Notamacropus eugenii: one gene and its partner. The protein of the gene in region 1 interacts with the protein of each later gene in a pairwise test. Links are inferred from orthologs where the notes say so. Each region holds a gene or a part of one and is shown in the gene's direction. Other genes may lie near its edges.

Region 1 (7,655 bases):
TTTTGACAAGAATATATACGATATTAAGGAAACGCAGAGGCCATCACCTTAACGCGACTATGAAAATATTAATACTTCATCAAAAAGAAGAAAGATGATTGGTACATGTTTGTAGAGTATGACAAAATAGTACAAAAACTTAGAGAAATATTTTTGGAGTAAACAAACATCTCTTGACTGAGTAATAATGAAGGCTAACAATAGGTAAAGATCACTGGATTTGTTGAATGTAACCAAAATTGGTTTTCCTCCAGATGGACCCTGTGAAATGGCCAAGACCCAAGACCGGAATCAATAGGCCCTCCATGGGCGACTTACATATAAACTCAGCCAACAGTATGTGGACAAAGACTCATTGAACTGCTGATTGAGTGATGTGAATTTATTTATGGAAATGGAGTAGCTTATGATACCAATTCAGGACCAAGTCATTGGCAACAGAAATTATAGAAAGGTTTTTCTTAAGGAGCCTGAACTTATAGATGAATGCAAATTATGCAAAAAAAAAAAAATTTAGAAACTATGCAATGCATTACTACAAGTTGAAAAAATTTAGCCTCTATCAAACACCTAGCAAAACACAACTTGATGTCTAGAATTATATATCATAAGCTCGCTATCTTTCAAAGACCGATAGATGATTAATAGTAATAATAGCTAACATTTAGATAGTGCTTTAAGCAGAAATGAGTTGGAACCAGTTTGCTCAGGAGAGCCAATTGTTAAATTTTGGATGAGCATTTATACCTTGGAAACCTGCAAACACGACAAATCAGGGCTTGATTTATTGTTTTGATGTTTGACTAGATTTAAGAAGGTGATGCAGGAAATATTAATATACTAGAAATTAAACTTAAAATTATGTGGTGAAGGTAATTTTTCCCTTCAGAAAGCTGGTTGTTAAATATTTACCAACACACCACTGACTTCTCAAGGTGCTTTATTATATTTATTATATTATTTAATTTGATATTCATAGCAACACTGTGAGGTAGGTGCTATTATTGTACCTATTTTACTGATGTGGAAACTGAGATACTCAGAGATGTTGATTGATTTGTCCAGGTTCACTCACCCTGGATACCAGTATCTAAGATGGTACTCAAACCCAGATTTTTCTGACTCCAAGTGCAGTGCTTTACCCATTGTACTATATAGTGCCTCAAAGTATACTTTATCATTTGATGGGTAAGCTGTACTGGAACCACAGCACCATCCCTGACAAAACTGTTGCTCACAATTACCTAGATATAACATTAATCCATAAAAAGTTAAGAATATTATTAATATATTTACCAAAAAATGCTCATAATATTCAAACTATGTGGAATGAAAAGCTTTCAGAACAGATGTAGTTGAAATTAAAACCATGTGGGAACAGGATGAGGTACATATAATCCTCCTTGTCCTATATACTGCTAGAACTAGAAAGACCTGAGTTCAAATCCATCCTCAGACGCTTACTAGCTATGTAATTCTGAGCAGGTCCCTCAACTGTAAAAAGGGAATAATAATAGCACCTACCTTCCAGGGTTGCTGTGAGGATCACATAAGATAATATTTGTAAAATGCTTAGCAAAATACCTAGTATATAGTAGGAAATTAATAAAATGCTTATTCCTTTCCTTATGTTTTTTTTAAGCCAACATATTCTCTATGTTTTCAATGAGCTAGCCGAAGATGAGCTTATATTCTGATACTGTTGGAAGAATAACATTCCTATAATGTTATTTAATTAGAAAAATGTATTTACCCTTCCATGCAACGGTCTGTACAACATTAAATATAAGAGAATAATAAGATAGTGATTTGTTCTAGGTCCATTTTGATTTGAACTCTACAAAAAATATGAGAATGAGGTGATTAATAATAATGCCAGTCAATCAACAAGCATTTATTAAACAAGTACTATGTGAAATGCATTGTGATAAGTGCTGGAGACACAAAGAAAGGCAAAAAATAAAAGAAACAGGGTTTAGTGTGACCTCACATGTAGCCTTGATGGGTTGGGTGAGCTGTGTACTGAGCTAGGTGATAACTACAACAACCCTTATTTTTCTCTGATTACTATTATCTCATTTCCTTATTCAATTTCTACCAAGGTTCTAAGTCGATCAAGGATATATTCTTATATTTCCTCATAAATTAATAGGATTGCACAATCTCACCAATTAATCAATTAGCCTGAGCCTCCACATCCAGTTTACAAATAAGCCAAAAAACCCAAAAACTTTCACTCATTTCTCTCTCTTAATAGCAAACTAAGTTTCATAGGCTTAGGCAAACATCGGTGTTACTGACTATACAATTTATTAACATTGTAACACCCAATTCAAAGATATATTTAGATGTTTGAGCAGCATATCAACCATGAGAAAGAATACATTCCTAGTCATTTTTAACTATTGATTTGCAACTGCTGATTTCTCAATGGACACCGGAAATATCGTTCTATAGTTCCATTCTTTCAACATGGCAGATGAAATCTCTTCTCAGGAAGTATTCTCCGTAGAACAAGAGTTAAACTCAGTTCTCTTAATGTTTTTTCAGGTTCTTTTTCTGATAGCTAATCCACTGAATCTCTCAGAAAGATGTTTTTCTACTCCTTTTGCTCTTTGCCTCACATAGTATCTTTCTAAGCCATGTCAGTTAATTCATTCCAGATGACAGTTATACCATTTCCCCCCAAGATTCTACTTCCTCTTAAAGAGACAGGAAAAGTATCCAGTCTCTCTTGGAAAGTTATTGAAGCTGATATTACAACAATAATCATTTTTAATTTTTTTCTTGTTTTCTTATTTTAATAATATTTTCCCCCAATTACATGAAAAGACATTTTTAAACATTTTTTTAAAATTTAAAGTCCGAAATTTTCTCATGCCTTCTCTCTCCTCTCCCTTTCCTGAGACAGTAAGCAATTTGATATAGGTTATACATGTGCAATTATGCAAAAAACATTTTTTTAAAGATGAGAACAAATAAATTTTTTTTACTGAACCTGTGGTTTCATTAATGTAGGGAACTCCCAGTGAGGAAACTCCCTCCAATATAGATCAGAAACTGTTGCTCTATGTGAGTAACTACAGTTATAGTCTTAAAGAATCAGCTGGGGCACTGAGAGGATAAGCGATTTGCCCAGGATAACATCCAGCTAGTAGATGACAAAACCAGACCTTGAATTCAGGTCTTACTGACTCAGAGGCCATACTGCTTCTCCAGTAATGAGCTGCTATTTACATGGTGTGATAGGATTTGCAAAATCTACAAATTCAACATGATGTGAGTAGGATATGGCACCCACAAAAGTTTATGTGCTCTTAGAAGCCCATGTGATCATGATGTCCAGAACAAGAAAGGTGAAGGTTTCACTGGATCTGATCAGACTATGGTATTTGTGGTATCCAGTTCAGCTTGAAACTATGCCTCTTAAGAATGACATTAACAAATTAAAAACATTTCAGAGGAGTATGCCTGGATAATAAAGGCACCCGGGGATTGGGACATTCAAGGACTGATTGAAAGAAGTGGGGATGTTTAATCTGGAGAGAATTTTTGAGGGAGCATGATAACTGAGGGGTTGTCAGAGGGAGGAGAAGGGTCAGACATTCTGTTGGACCCTAAAGGGTAGAACTGGAAGCAAAGCTGGAAGCAATGAGTGGAAGATTTCAGAGGCATGGTAGCTCCCACATGAGGGGTGAAATCTTAACCCAGAGTCCAAAGTGCAAGACGCCTCTTTATTTAGTGCCCTTGCTTTACTGGAGGTCTGCAAGCGGTGGGTGCATGACCACCTGTGAGGGGGTATCCTAGAGGGGTCTCTTGCTCAGATACAGGTTGAACGAGCGTGTCAGAGTGGACCAGTGCTGGACCAGGACTCTGGAAGACCTGAGTTCAAATCTTGTCTCTGGCACTTGCCCTCTGTGTGACTACGGGCAAGTTGTTGAACCTCTCTGGGTCCCAGTTCTTTAGCCTGTCCAAAATGGGGCTAGTCAGCTTCCCAGGGTTGCAGTGCGGTTTACGGGAGGTAAGGTCTGTCCAGCACTTTGGAAGCTCTGGAGGGCTGGGCTGTTGCTAGCTGTTGGTCATTAGATGAAGTCCCTTGCAGTCCTGAGGTTTGGTGATGCTGTGGCTCCATTCCAGCTCCCTACAAAATTTAACTCTTTCGGTGTATACACCGCAGTTACTTCGTGGACTTGGGGATGTGTTGGGGGGGCGGGGCAGAAGCGTCCTGTGACGCTTCACCTGCAGGGGGCGCTGTCAGCTGGAGGCTCCCCTCTAGGCCGCCCTCGCCATTCTCTATGGTGGTGTCGGCTGTCTGTCGGCCTCTCCCCACCCCCTCCCCTCCTCGCCGCGTCCCCTCCCCCTCTAGGCTCGCTGCTGCGTACGCCCACCCCCGCCATCAGGGGGAGCGCGAGGGCTGCCAGGGTCCGACTCCCTTTTTCTCTTGGAGTTGAAAATTCCTCCCCCCGGCGTGGGCGGAGGGAGCTCGGGAGAGGGAAGAGGAAGAGGAAGAGGAAGAGGAAGAAGGGAGGGGGCGGGGAGGAGGAGCCGGGGGCGCGAGCAGGGGCCGGGACCGGAAGTGTGCGGTTGCCATGTAATATCCTGAGAGCGAGCGCGAGCCAGCGGCGAGCCAGCGGGCGGACGGCAGGACGGGCGGGCGCTGAGGCGGCGCCGAGCGCAGGCGGAGGCGGTTGAGGCGGGCTCGGCCGGGGGCAGCGTCGGGAGCCGTCTGGCCGCCGGGCCGTTTGTCCGTCGCTAGCTGGGTCGGGGCCGGCCGGGAGGTCTGGCTGCGGGAGGCAGCATGTCGGTGGCCGGGCTCAAGAAGCAGTTCTACAAGGCGAGCCAGGTGAGCGGCGCGGGGGCGGACGGACCGACGGACCGACGGGGCCCCGGCCTGGGAGCCCCCGGGGCTGGGGGGGCTTCCGAGGGGGTGCCGAGAGGCCAACCCGGCCCCCACCCCAGGAGGACGGAGGGGAAGGGGGAGGGGGAGGGGAGAGTGACATCACTCCAGATGTGGTGGGGGGGAAGTGACAGCGGTGCAGGGATTGTCCAGAAAGGCCAGTCCTGTCCCGGGATCGTGGTATCAGGATGGGTAGAGCCTGTGCTGGCAGAGAGGTGACTTTGGTCTAGGGGTTGCAATGGCCTATGCCCTTAGAGGATGAAGGGAGCTCTGGAGGGGTGGGGGGAGTCACGTCAGTCCCGAAGTTGTTTTTGGAGGCCAACACTACTGAGCATATGGATAAAACCTCTAGAATAAAATGAAGTTGGGTCCTAGATTGTCCAGGGAGGCTCTTGGAAGGATGGATAGAAAACATGAGAAGTGGCGTAGGTCTAGAGATTGTCTAGAGAGAGGCCAGCGCTATTGGGAATATGGGGAAAACCTTTAGAATAAAATGAAGTTGAGTCCTAGATTGTCCAGGGAGGCCCTTGGAAGGATGGATAGAAAACATGAGAAGTGACGTTGGTCTAGAGATTGTCTAGAGAGAGGCCAACACTATTGAGAATATGGATAAAACCTCTAGAATCAAATGAAGTTGGGTCCTAGATTGTCCAGGGAGGCTCTTGGGAGGATGGATAAGAAGACAGAAGTGGCGTAGGTCTAGAGATTGTCTAGAGAGAGGCCAGCGCTATTGGGAATATGGGGAAAACCTTTAGAATAAAATGAAGTTGGGTCCTAGATTGTCCAGGGAGGCTCTTGGGAGGATGGATAAGAAGACAGAAGTGGCGTGGGTCTAGAGATTGTCCAGAGAGAGGTCAGCACTGTTCTTTCCCTTGGGAGGATGGAGAGTCTGTGCAGTGGAGAAAATGCAGCCAGTGTTTGCCCATTGATACATAGACATTGCCCACTGCCCCAGAAGGATTAATAAAGCCTATTGAAAAAGAAATGAGGTCGAATAAATTTTTCAGATATTTTGGCACATGGTCATGATCCCTGGAAGGTTGGGTAGCACTGGTGGGGGAAAGAGAAATCAGTTCAGAGGTTGTTCTGGGGTGTTGACTTCAATCCACTGCCTCTTGCTTTTCTCAGAGGATAGAAGGGATCTGTGGGGGCACAGAGGCCAAGAGGCATCGTTCAAGAAGGCATAGGTGGACTTATGGTTATTCCTTATGTGGTATGTGTTCGTTCTTCTTTGCCGAAGAAGACCATGCCATCAGAGAAATAATGACATGACTTGCACTTGACTTTGTTTTATGTGAGGGAGGGCCTTACATGGTGGGAGTGTCCTGGAATGCCAACAAGAGGTATAGGGATGTTCTTTTCTTTTACAGAAGGAACACCCAACATAGGTTTTGGGGAAAAGGACATAATAGCCCCTAGAGTTAAGGTTTCTACATAAAGTACCTCTTCTGAGAATGCCCTTTGGGTCTCTCAGGTTGGCAGACTTAACATTTTATTTTAGAGGAGTCTACATTCACGGTTCCAGCCTTGAGAAAACTATAAAGTCCAACTGGATTGTTTAGAATCCAGTATCCATAGACCTTAAATGATGTACTTTCAAACAATTGCCCTAAGAATTTACTTATGTTTGTACATAAACCTGTCACTTCTATTATTTTTGGAGTCTGCTACTATATTTCCTTGATAACCGGTTTGCGTTATTTGTGTGTTTTTCTCATTCTAAACATCAACACCTTTCTTATCCCCCTTCACACTCCCAGAGGAAATGAACTGTTTCCCAGGAGAAACTTCTTCCTGTGTATTTTTGAAGAAGAATTTTGAACTTGGAGACTTATTTCAGTATTTCTAAATTGGAAAAAGAGATGCTGGGTGAATTTGGAAGAGTTTAAAATTGTATATTTTTTAAAAAGCCACTAAAAGCTTGGTTGGGGAACTAAGATTCTGATTTTAATTAAAAACTTTCATTAGTTACACTATTAACCAACTCAAGAAATTCTGCCCCTATTTATCTATTCAAACCTTTCAGGTTCTGTTAAAAATGTATTTAAACTTTGGTATGTTTGCCCCTACTGGAGAGTTTATAAGACGTTTTAGCTTCCTATAATGTAAACTGTCTTTTTCCTGGAATGCCATTATAGGCTAAAGGAATGAAACTTCTTTAGAGCTGTTCTGAGATGAAAACAAGAGGATGGAGAGGAAAAGCAGTAAAATAACCAGCCATCTGTCTGATCACCATCCATTTTGCTCCTCTCTGTTCTGCCTAACAGCTCCCCTTTTTGCTCCCCTTACCATCTGTCTGACCTCTTGTATTTGTCGCACCTCTAGAATTGAAAGAAGGTCTTTATGCATTTTGAGGGCAAGGGGGAACAGAGAGCCCTCCACTGGTGTGGTACCGCAATGTAATTTTGAAACGAATAGAGGTATGTGTTTTTATGAAGTTATTCCCAAGCCTAAATAGCAAGTCTAAGTGACTTACTGATAATTCTTGTGGTTTTTACCATGACAGAGATTTGAGTTAGTACAGAAGACTCCAACTGGCCGTCAGTTGGAATGCAATGAAAGGAGGGAGAGAATTTTCAAAGTAGAAGATGTGTTTAGTCTTAGAAAGGAGAAGTCACTCTTGCCATGATCTTTGGCTTTGAAACTTTTTGAATGTTCTTTAGGCTCTGTTTTGGGTCATAAGCAGTTGGGAAGGAATCCTAAAGGGAGGGCTGAGGAGAAAGGAAGGAGGTACTAGCAGGTACTGAGGGATATTTTA
Region 2 (7,800 bases), on another chromosome or scaffold:
GTACCTTTTAGCAAGATGTAGTTTTCCTTCCTTATCTCTTTTAATTAGGTCTATCTTTACTTTTGCTTTGTCTGAGATCAGAATCACCACACTTGCCTTTTTTTTCTTTACTTTGGCTGAAGCACGCTAGATTCTGCTTCAGCCCCTTACCTTTACCTTGTGTGTATCTCTTTGCTTGAAGTGTCTTTTTTTTTAAACAAGATATTGTAGGATTCTGTTTTTTTATTCCCTCTGCTGTTAGCTTCCATTTTGTGGGAGTTCATCCCATTCCTATTCATGGTTGTGATTACTGTGAATTTCCCTCCATCTTATTTTTCCTCCTGTTTGTACTCTTTCATCTCACCCTTTCCCTTCTCACCAGTGTTTTGTTTCTGTTTATGCCTCTCCCAATCTGCCCCCACTTCTGTTGGTCCCCAACTCTCCCCCTTTTACTTGATTTCCTCCCAACTTCCCTTTCCCTGTTGGGTAAAATAGATTTCTATATTCAACTGATTATGTATATTATTCCCTCTTTGAGTCACTTCTGATGGGAGTAAGGTTTAAGTAATCCCTATCACCCATTCTCCCATCTTCCCTTCCACTGTAATAAGTCTTTCATGCCTCTTCAAGTGAATCAATTTACCATTCTACCTCTCCCTTCCTTCTGCACCCAGTATATTCTTCTTTCCCATCCCTTAGTTTTTTTTGTCATTCCCTCAAATTCACCTCATACCCATGCCCTCTATATATATTCCTTCTAGTTTTACTATTAGTGGTAGAGTTTTTTTTTTTTAACTTGTTGATTATATTATTTAAAATGCTTCAATCTGTATTCAGAACTGTATTCAATTCTTTCTCTGGGGATGGATAGAATTTTCCTCATAAGTCCTTCAGAGTTGTCTTGGATTATTGTAATGCTGAGAATAGCTAAGTCATTCACAGCGGATCATCTTACAATGTTGCTGTTACTTTGTACTTTGCATATTTCACTTAACATCAGTCCATGCAACTCTTTCCTGGTTTTTCTGAGAGCATCCTGCTCATCATTTATTACAGCACAATAGTATTCCATCATAATCATATACCACAATTTGTTCAGCCATTCCCCAATTGATGGGTAGTGACAGAATTCTTATGAATTACAAGTATCAGCTTCCAAGGTAGGGATATATAAACAGTTTAGTTCTATTGAATCCCTTATGTTTTCTTTTCCCTTTTCTAGGTTTCTCTTGGGTCTTGATATTGTAGATCACATTTTTTTGGTTCAATTTTGGTCTTCTCCTTATAAAAGTTTGAAATTCTATTTCATTGAATGACCATTTTTTCCCTTGAAATATTATTATGTTTAATTTTGCCTGTTAGGTGATTCTTGGTTGTAGTCCTGCTCCTTTGCCTGTCTTTCAGTTTTTCTTGTCTTATTGCTATAGCTAGTATTTTCAGTACAATGTCAAATAATAACAATAATGGAATTGTTGCTTCACCTCTAATCTTATTGGAAAGGCTTCTAGCTTATCTCATGAGAGGGTACATTATAAACTATTGTTATACAACTTCAACCAGGTCCTCACATTAGCAAGGAAATCCTTTTATTCCTCCCTAAATGATTCCTTCACTTTCTACACATGCTTTGTCAAGTTCTCTTATTCTCCTTAAGCTTCCCATATGTTTCCCTCCTCCTTCTTTCTTAGCTGAAGACTTTACCTCTTACTTTTCTAAGAAAATCGAGGCCTTTCAGCATTAAAACCTTCTCTTTTTCTAAAAAAACCCAAAACCTTGGTATCATCTCTTTTCCTTTTTCTCTAATCTTCAACAATAAAGTGGTCTTTCTCCTTGTTAAGGCCAATTCTTTCTATAAGACGCATCCCCTTTCATTTTCTCTAGAAGATTTTTCAGTTTCAACAGTCCTCTTTCTCTCTTTTAATCTTAAGAAACTCCCCTATCTGTTCATTTCCTATTGTTTTCAAACGTACCCAAGTCTCTTCCATCTTTAGAAACCTTCACTAGACCCTTCTATCTCCTCAAACTAATACTCTTTATCTCTCCTTCCTTTCTCACACTCTTACACTCTTTTCCTCCACTTTCTCATTTCTCAAATTGATTAATTTTTCAACTCTTTATTATTTGGCTTTTGATATAATCATTACACTGAAATTCTCTTTCCAAAGTTACCAGTGAATGCAATAATGTTCTTTTTTCAATCCATATCCCTTTTGACCTATCTACTGCATTGGATACATATTTTATAGAAAAAATTGAAGCCATTCATCATGAACTATTTCTCTCCTTTCTTTCATCTTCTATACATGCCTTCTGTCACTATATCTTCCTTCATCTGTCTTAAAAAAAGGTGTCCCTCTAATCCCATTCCATCCTGTCTTCTCCAAAAGACTGCCAGTTCTCTCATCCCTACTCTTTCATTTATCTTCAGTGTTTCCTTGTCAGTTGGTTCCTTCCCTACTGATTACAAATGTGCTCATGTCTCCATCATCTTCAAAAAGACCTCACTTGATCCTTCTATCCCTACTAGATATCATCCTGTATTTTCCTACCCTTTGTGTCTAAACTCATTGAGAAAATCATCTGCAATGGGTGCCTTCACTTTTCTCCTCTTACCTTTCTCTTAATCCCCTACAATCTGGCTTCCAATCTCATATTCACCAGAGATCTCCTCATTGCTAAATCTACTGATCTTTTCTAAATATATATTCTTTACCTCTCTGAAACCTTTGACACTATCAATCACCCTCTTTTCCTTGATTTATCTTCTCTCTAGTTTTTTGGGACACAATTTTCTCCTGGTTCTTCTCCTCCTACCTTTCTGACTGCTCCTTCTCAGCCTTCTTTGCTGAAACTCTTATCTAAATCATACCCTCTAATTGTAGGTTTCCCATAGCGAAACATCCTGGATCCTCTTTTCTCTCTTTATACTACTTCGCTTGGTGGTCTCATCAGCTCATGTGGATTTAGTTATCATCTCTATGTTGATGATTCTCTCATCAGATAGGTATCCAACTCTGACCTCTAGAATATTTGAATATTCAAATGCCTTTCAAACATCTCAAACTGAATGTCAAGCAGACATCTTAAATGCATCATATCCAAAACAGAACTCATAGCTTTCCCTCTAAACTCTTCCCTTATCCCAATACCTCTTCTCTATTATTGTTCCCTAATACTGCCCTATGACTACCATCCTCCCAGTGACTTAGGCTTGCAGCAATCTAGAAGCTATCCTCCACTCCTTACTGTCTCTCACAATCTATAACCAATCTGTTGCCAAGACCTGTCCATTGTACCTTTTATCCTCTTATCTTCTCTGAGATTGCCACCACCCAGGTACAGGCCCTCATGACCCCACATTTGGACTTTTCCAATAAACTGCTGATGGGTCTGCCTGGCAAAAGGCATTCCCATTTAGGCCCTTTCTACATTCAGAGGAAAAAGTGATTTTTCTAAAGTAAAGGTCCAACCATATCACCCTTCCCCACCACCCCCCATTCAAAAAACTCCAGTGCTTCCCTATCACCTCCAGGATCAAATATGAAATTATTTGGTGTTCAAAGTCCTTCACAACCTACCCCCTTTTTTCCCACCTTCCCAGTCTTCTTATACTTTAGACTTATACTTTACACTTACTCTTCAATTTGTGATATTGGCTTTTTTGCTTTTCCATGAACAAGACACTCCAAACAAGATACTCTATTTCTCAGCTCTAGGCATTTTCTTTAGCTGTTCTCCATGCCTGGAAATTCTCTACCTCCTCATCTCTGCCTCTGACTTTCCTAGCTTCCTTCAAGTCTCATTAAAATTCCATCTTCTACGGGAAGCCTTTCCCAATTCCTCTTAACTCTAGTGCCTTCCATTTGTTACTTATTTCCTACCTGTATATATCTTGTTTGTATACATTTGCTTGTTGTCTCTCACATTAACTTGTGAGCTCTCGGAGGGCTGTGTCTATCTTTTGGTCTTTCTTTGTATTTGCAGTGCTTACTGCAGTGCTTGACATTGGAGCTTCATAAATTCTTATCCACTAACGAGAGGTCTTTGAGAGGATCATCACCTACCAGGGGCATTTCAGAGGGGATTTCTGTTTCTGTCCCAGAGAGAATCGTACATCTAAAAAGGTCCTTTTCACCTCTAAGATCATGAGTCATAAGCTATGAATTACAAAGATATTTTCCTTCTTAAACAAATGTTCCTCCTGAATCATTCTTAGAGGAAAGGGAGAGTGGGTGGTCACTAACCTAAGCTTAAGGTGAAACCTAAACCTCCTTACTCTTTGGAATGAATTAGGCTGGCTAAAGGGATTCTATTTTTTCCTTTCTTTCTCTGACATATTAGTTGCTAATATGACAATGAATCCTGCTTTGTGCATTGGGAATGTGTTCCTCTCTTAAAGCCTTGATTAGATTCTCTCTTGGTACAGTATTATATCTGGTCTTATTCATGCTTCATTAAGCTGAGCTCTGCGAGGTCAGGGCCCTTTTTGTTTTTTTTCCATCTTTGTCTACCTCAGCCCCAGCACAGGGCCTTGCACCCAGCACACAGAATTTTGTCCAATGAATGAATGAATTTTGAGAGGCCATGCACACTTGGCCTGGTTCGGTCTATCCTTTCCTTTCTGCCTGGAAAGTAGAGCTCTCCTGCCTGCAGGAGAGACCCCAGCCACAGACTTGGCACAGGCGGGGGCACACAGGAGGCCCCAGCCTTTGGCCAGGTAGGTGGAGTTGTGGTTGCTTTCTTTGTGCCTGCCTGTTTAGGGGGGAAAAGGAAGGAGAGAAAAGAGAAGGCAGAGAGCGAGAGAGCGAGAGACCCAGAGAGACACACAGAGAGAGGTGGAGGAGAGAAGAGAAGAGAGGAAGGTAGGGGAAGGGAGGGGAGAGAGGCGGTAGAGAGAAGAGAGGCCAGGGAGGCCGGGAAGAGGGTAGGGGAGACGAGGAGGGAGGGGCAGGAAGAAGACTGAGGAGGGAGGAAGGGGACAGTTTGTGGGGAGTGGACAAGCAGAAGGGTGAGGAGCTGCCGGGAGCCGACCAGCCCACTCCCATGGGTCTCTAGGGCCTCCCCCTCCCCATTGGCCTCGGGCGGCGGCGGTGGCGGCGGCAGCGCCGGGTGGACCAAGCGCGGCCCCTTTAAAGCGTCCGCCCCCGCCCCCACCCCAGCCGATCGATCCTCCATTTTCCAGCACATTTCCCCCACCTGGAGGAGCCGCCGCGCCACCCTGCGAACCCCGAGCGTCGGGCCCGGGCCAGGCCAGGCCAGGCCAGGCCTCTGAGCCCCCCGTGTGCCGCGCTGCGCCCCCAAAGCCGGAGCCCGAGCCGGAGCCCGACATGGCCGCCAACATGTACAGGGTCGGAGGTGAGCCCCCCTCCTCGTTGCCCCTGCCGCCCCGCGGCCTCCCGCCCAGCTTCGGGCAGAGCCCGAATCGGCTCCCGACCCAGCGCGTCCTCTAGCCAGGCCAGCCCCGACCTGCCCTGGGCCTCCCCCGCGTTCCACTCGTCCCAGCCCCAGGTTTTGCTGCTCCCCGCTCCTCCCCTCCCCCCGGCCGCTCGCCCGGCCTGGATTCCATTCGCCTCCTTTCCCGTGTGGCCCCGCCGGGCCTTCACGGCCAGCGCCCAGATCCTCCTCCCCTCCGCCCTGGGCCCCAGCCATCGCTGCCCCATCCCGCCTCCTGTGCCGGGTCTGAACCTCATCCCCCATTCCAGGCCGTCCGGCTCCCATCTTAGCCACCTCTCCCTCCATCCGGAGGGCCTCTGTCCTTCCCGGGCCCCTCCATCTCCCCACCCCCCGGGGGGCGAACATTCGGACTGGCTGTTGAGAATGTTGGGCCTGGGGGAGGGAGAGTCAGTGAGTGACTCCGGGTGGTTAGAGTGAAGCTGTGGATGCCCCCTGGTCATCTGTATCTTGTTTTCGGAATGAGCTCGTCTTTCTTACAGTTTTATGAATATTATTGGGGGGGCGGGGAGCCAGAATGGGGGATATTTGATACCTGCCAAAGTTCGGAGCTAAAGGTGGGGCTAGAATTGTTGGCATATGAAAGGTAAGAAAGTGGCAGGCATGGGCTGGAGGGGGGGTGGGGAGTGGAGGTGGTGGGGGAGTGGTGCTTCTGGGTTTGTGTGTGTGTTTTGTTTTTGTTTTTAGAAATATGTGTATAGGGTGCTTTGTGATGATCTGAGTTTCACTTTGTGATGAAAGGGAGGTGTAGGGCGACCTAGGTAGCAAAAAGAATGGGATCTACTATGGGGACAGCACTACTACAGCTCTTCTTTTGGATTTTGGCCTTTGGGGAACCTTTTGGTAGGAGCAAAATGCATCGAGGGAATGGATTCTTTAGTTTTAGTGATGGGGGCAGTTGGTGTTGGAATTTTTTTGGAGGGAAAGGTGTCCTTTTTTTCAGGAATAGGTTCTATTAGAATCATTTTCTTGCAGTGAAGCTGGGAAGGGTGGTAAGGTCTATCTGGGAAGGTGTATTGAGGAACAGAGGGAGTTCTTACGTTTTTGTCTTGTTTGTGGTAGAGAGGGTGCATGACAGGATTGCCCATTAGGTTAATGGGGAACTTTAGGATTGCTTATTGCCCATTTGAGAATATTTCAACTACTCCTGAAACATTTAGCTGATATTTAGACTACCTTGGAAGCTTGGAGATTTTCCTTAAAAGTGATTTCTAAGTATACTTAGAATTTCTAAGTATACTTAGTATACTGAGCTACTTCCTAAATGAGGGTCCAACGGCACATCTTGTTGAGTTTAGATGGAGTGGATAGTGCTTGGTGGCTTTAGCTTGGGGAGGGGTAGTTTGCTGAGGAGGGATGGGGGTGATGATGTGGTAACCTTGAAAGAGCATACTTTGTGAAAGTTAAGGAATCCTCTGGCTTAGATTTCCAGTCACTGCCAAGAGTAGTGAGTTAGGGTCACCTTTAAAGACGGTGTTTAAATTGTCACCTATGATATATTTTTACTGGTCCCAAATTTTTGATGATGTACTTTTGGAGAATGATTATGCTAATATATATCTTCTCTCTCATTCAGCACTCTGCTATGTACATAGGCCTTTTCCCTACTTGTCTTCTGTAGTCTTCCTTTGGCAATAATTTTTATGAGTTGCTTCCCCTTTGATTTGCCTTTAAAAGCTCAGGTGTTGGGTCAGAATTACTGGAAATACTTTGGAGTGACAATACTATGATGCAAATAGACACTGGTGCCTTGTTTAGTGACATTAGTAGGAGCAGGACATAGCAGATCCTAAGGTCTCTTGAATGTTGGGGTGGGGAAAGTACTCATACTCCTCCAGTGCCAGTTTCCTGACTTACTTCATGCTTCCTGGGGTTTCCAAAGGAAGCCCAAAGGAGCATGGTTTAGAGGTGCTAGCCATAGAGATCCTGGTTGGGCTTCAAAGGTTGCCTGCCCTTTTAACTCTTCCATCTGCCTACATTTTGGGGAAAGGTGGAGGGTGTCTATAGCAAGGTGTACTAGCAAGTTTGTTCTTATTTTGCCCAGCTCTGTTTCTTCACCAAGTTTTGACTTGGGTAGAAATTTGAACTTCAAACTCAGAAAAGCTTTCTAAAACACTTGACATTTACACTTTGTTTCTTTTCTCCTCTTCCTCTACTCTTAATAATCAGCCTTCCAGCCTCCTCATTCAAGTTAAACAGCCGTATCTGTGACTTCTTAATTGTCCAATTTTTGATGTTTTTTCTCAGTCTTAATTCTTCTCAACCCGCCTGTTGACACTGCTTATCACCCTTTCCCCCTGGGTATTCTGTCTTTAAGCTTTTTGTGACACTCCAGTCTCTTGGTTCCCCTCTGCTTGTCTGACTGCTCTG

The links.
Region 2: the proteins of SH3GL1 (region 1) and MTA1 interact in binary tests that used the Homo sapiens proteins (3 or more experiments, as listed by UniProt). The two-hybrid records come from large-scale screens. The link is inferred for Notamacropus eugenii from reciprocal best matches to the Homo sapiens genes SH3GL1 and MTA1.

What each region holds. Positions count from the first base shown.
Region 1 is NC_092875.1:71,633,735-71,641,389, reverse strand, and holds the start of SH3GL1 (endophilin-A2), read left to right. Parts: upstream 1-4,580; 5' UTR 4,581-4,798; coding exon 4,799-4,843; intron 4,844-7,655. UniProt on the Homo sapiens protein: Implicated in endocytosis. May recruit other proteins to membranes with high curvature.
Region 2 is NC_092872.1:324,142,640-324,150,439, reverse strand, and holds the start of MTA1 (metastasis-associated protein MTA1), read left to right. Parts: upstream 1-4,763; 5' UTR 4,764-4,841; intron 4,842-4,952; exon of another isoform or gene 4,953-5,161; 5' UTR 5,162-5,306; coding exon 5,307-5,334; intron 5,335-5,511; exon of another isoform or gene 5,512-6,009; coding exon of another isoform or gene 6,010-6,016; intron 6,017-7,800. UniProt on the Homo sapiens protein: Transcriptional coregulator which can act as both a transcriptional corepressor and coactivator. Acts as a component of the histone deacetylase NuRD complex which participates in the remodeling of chromatin.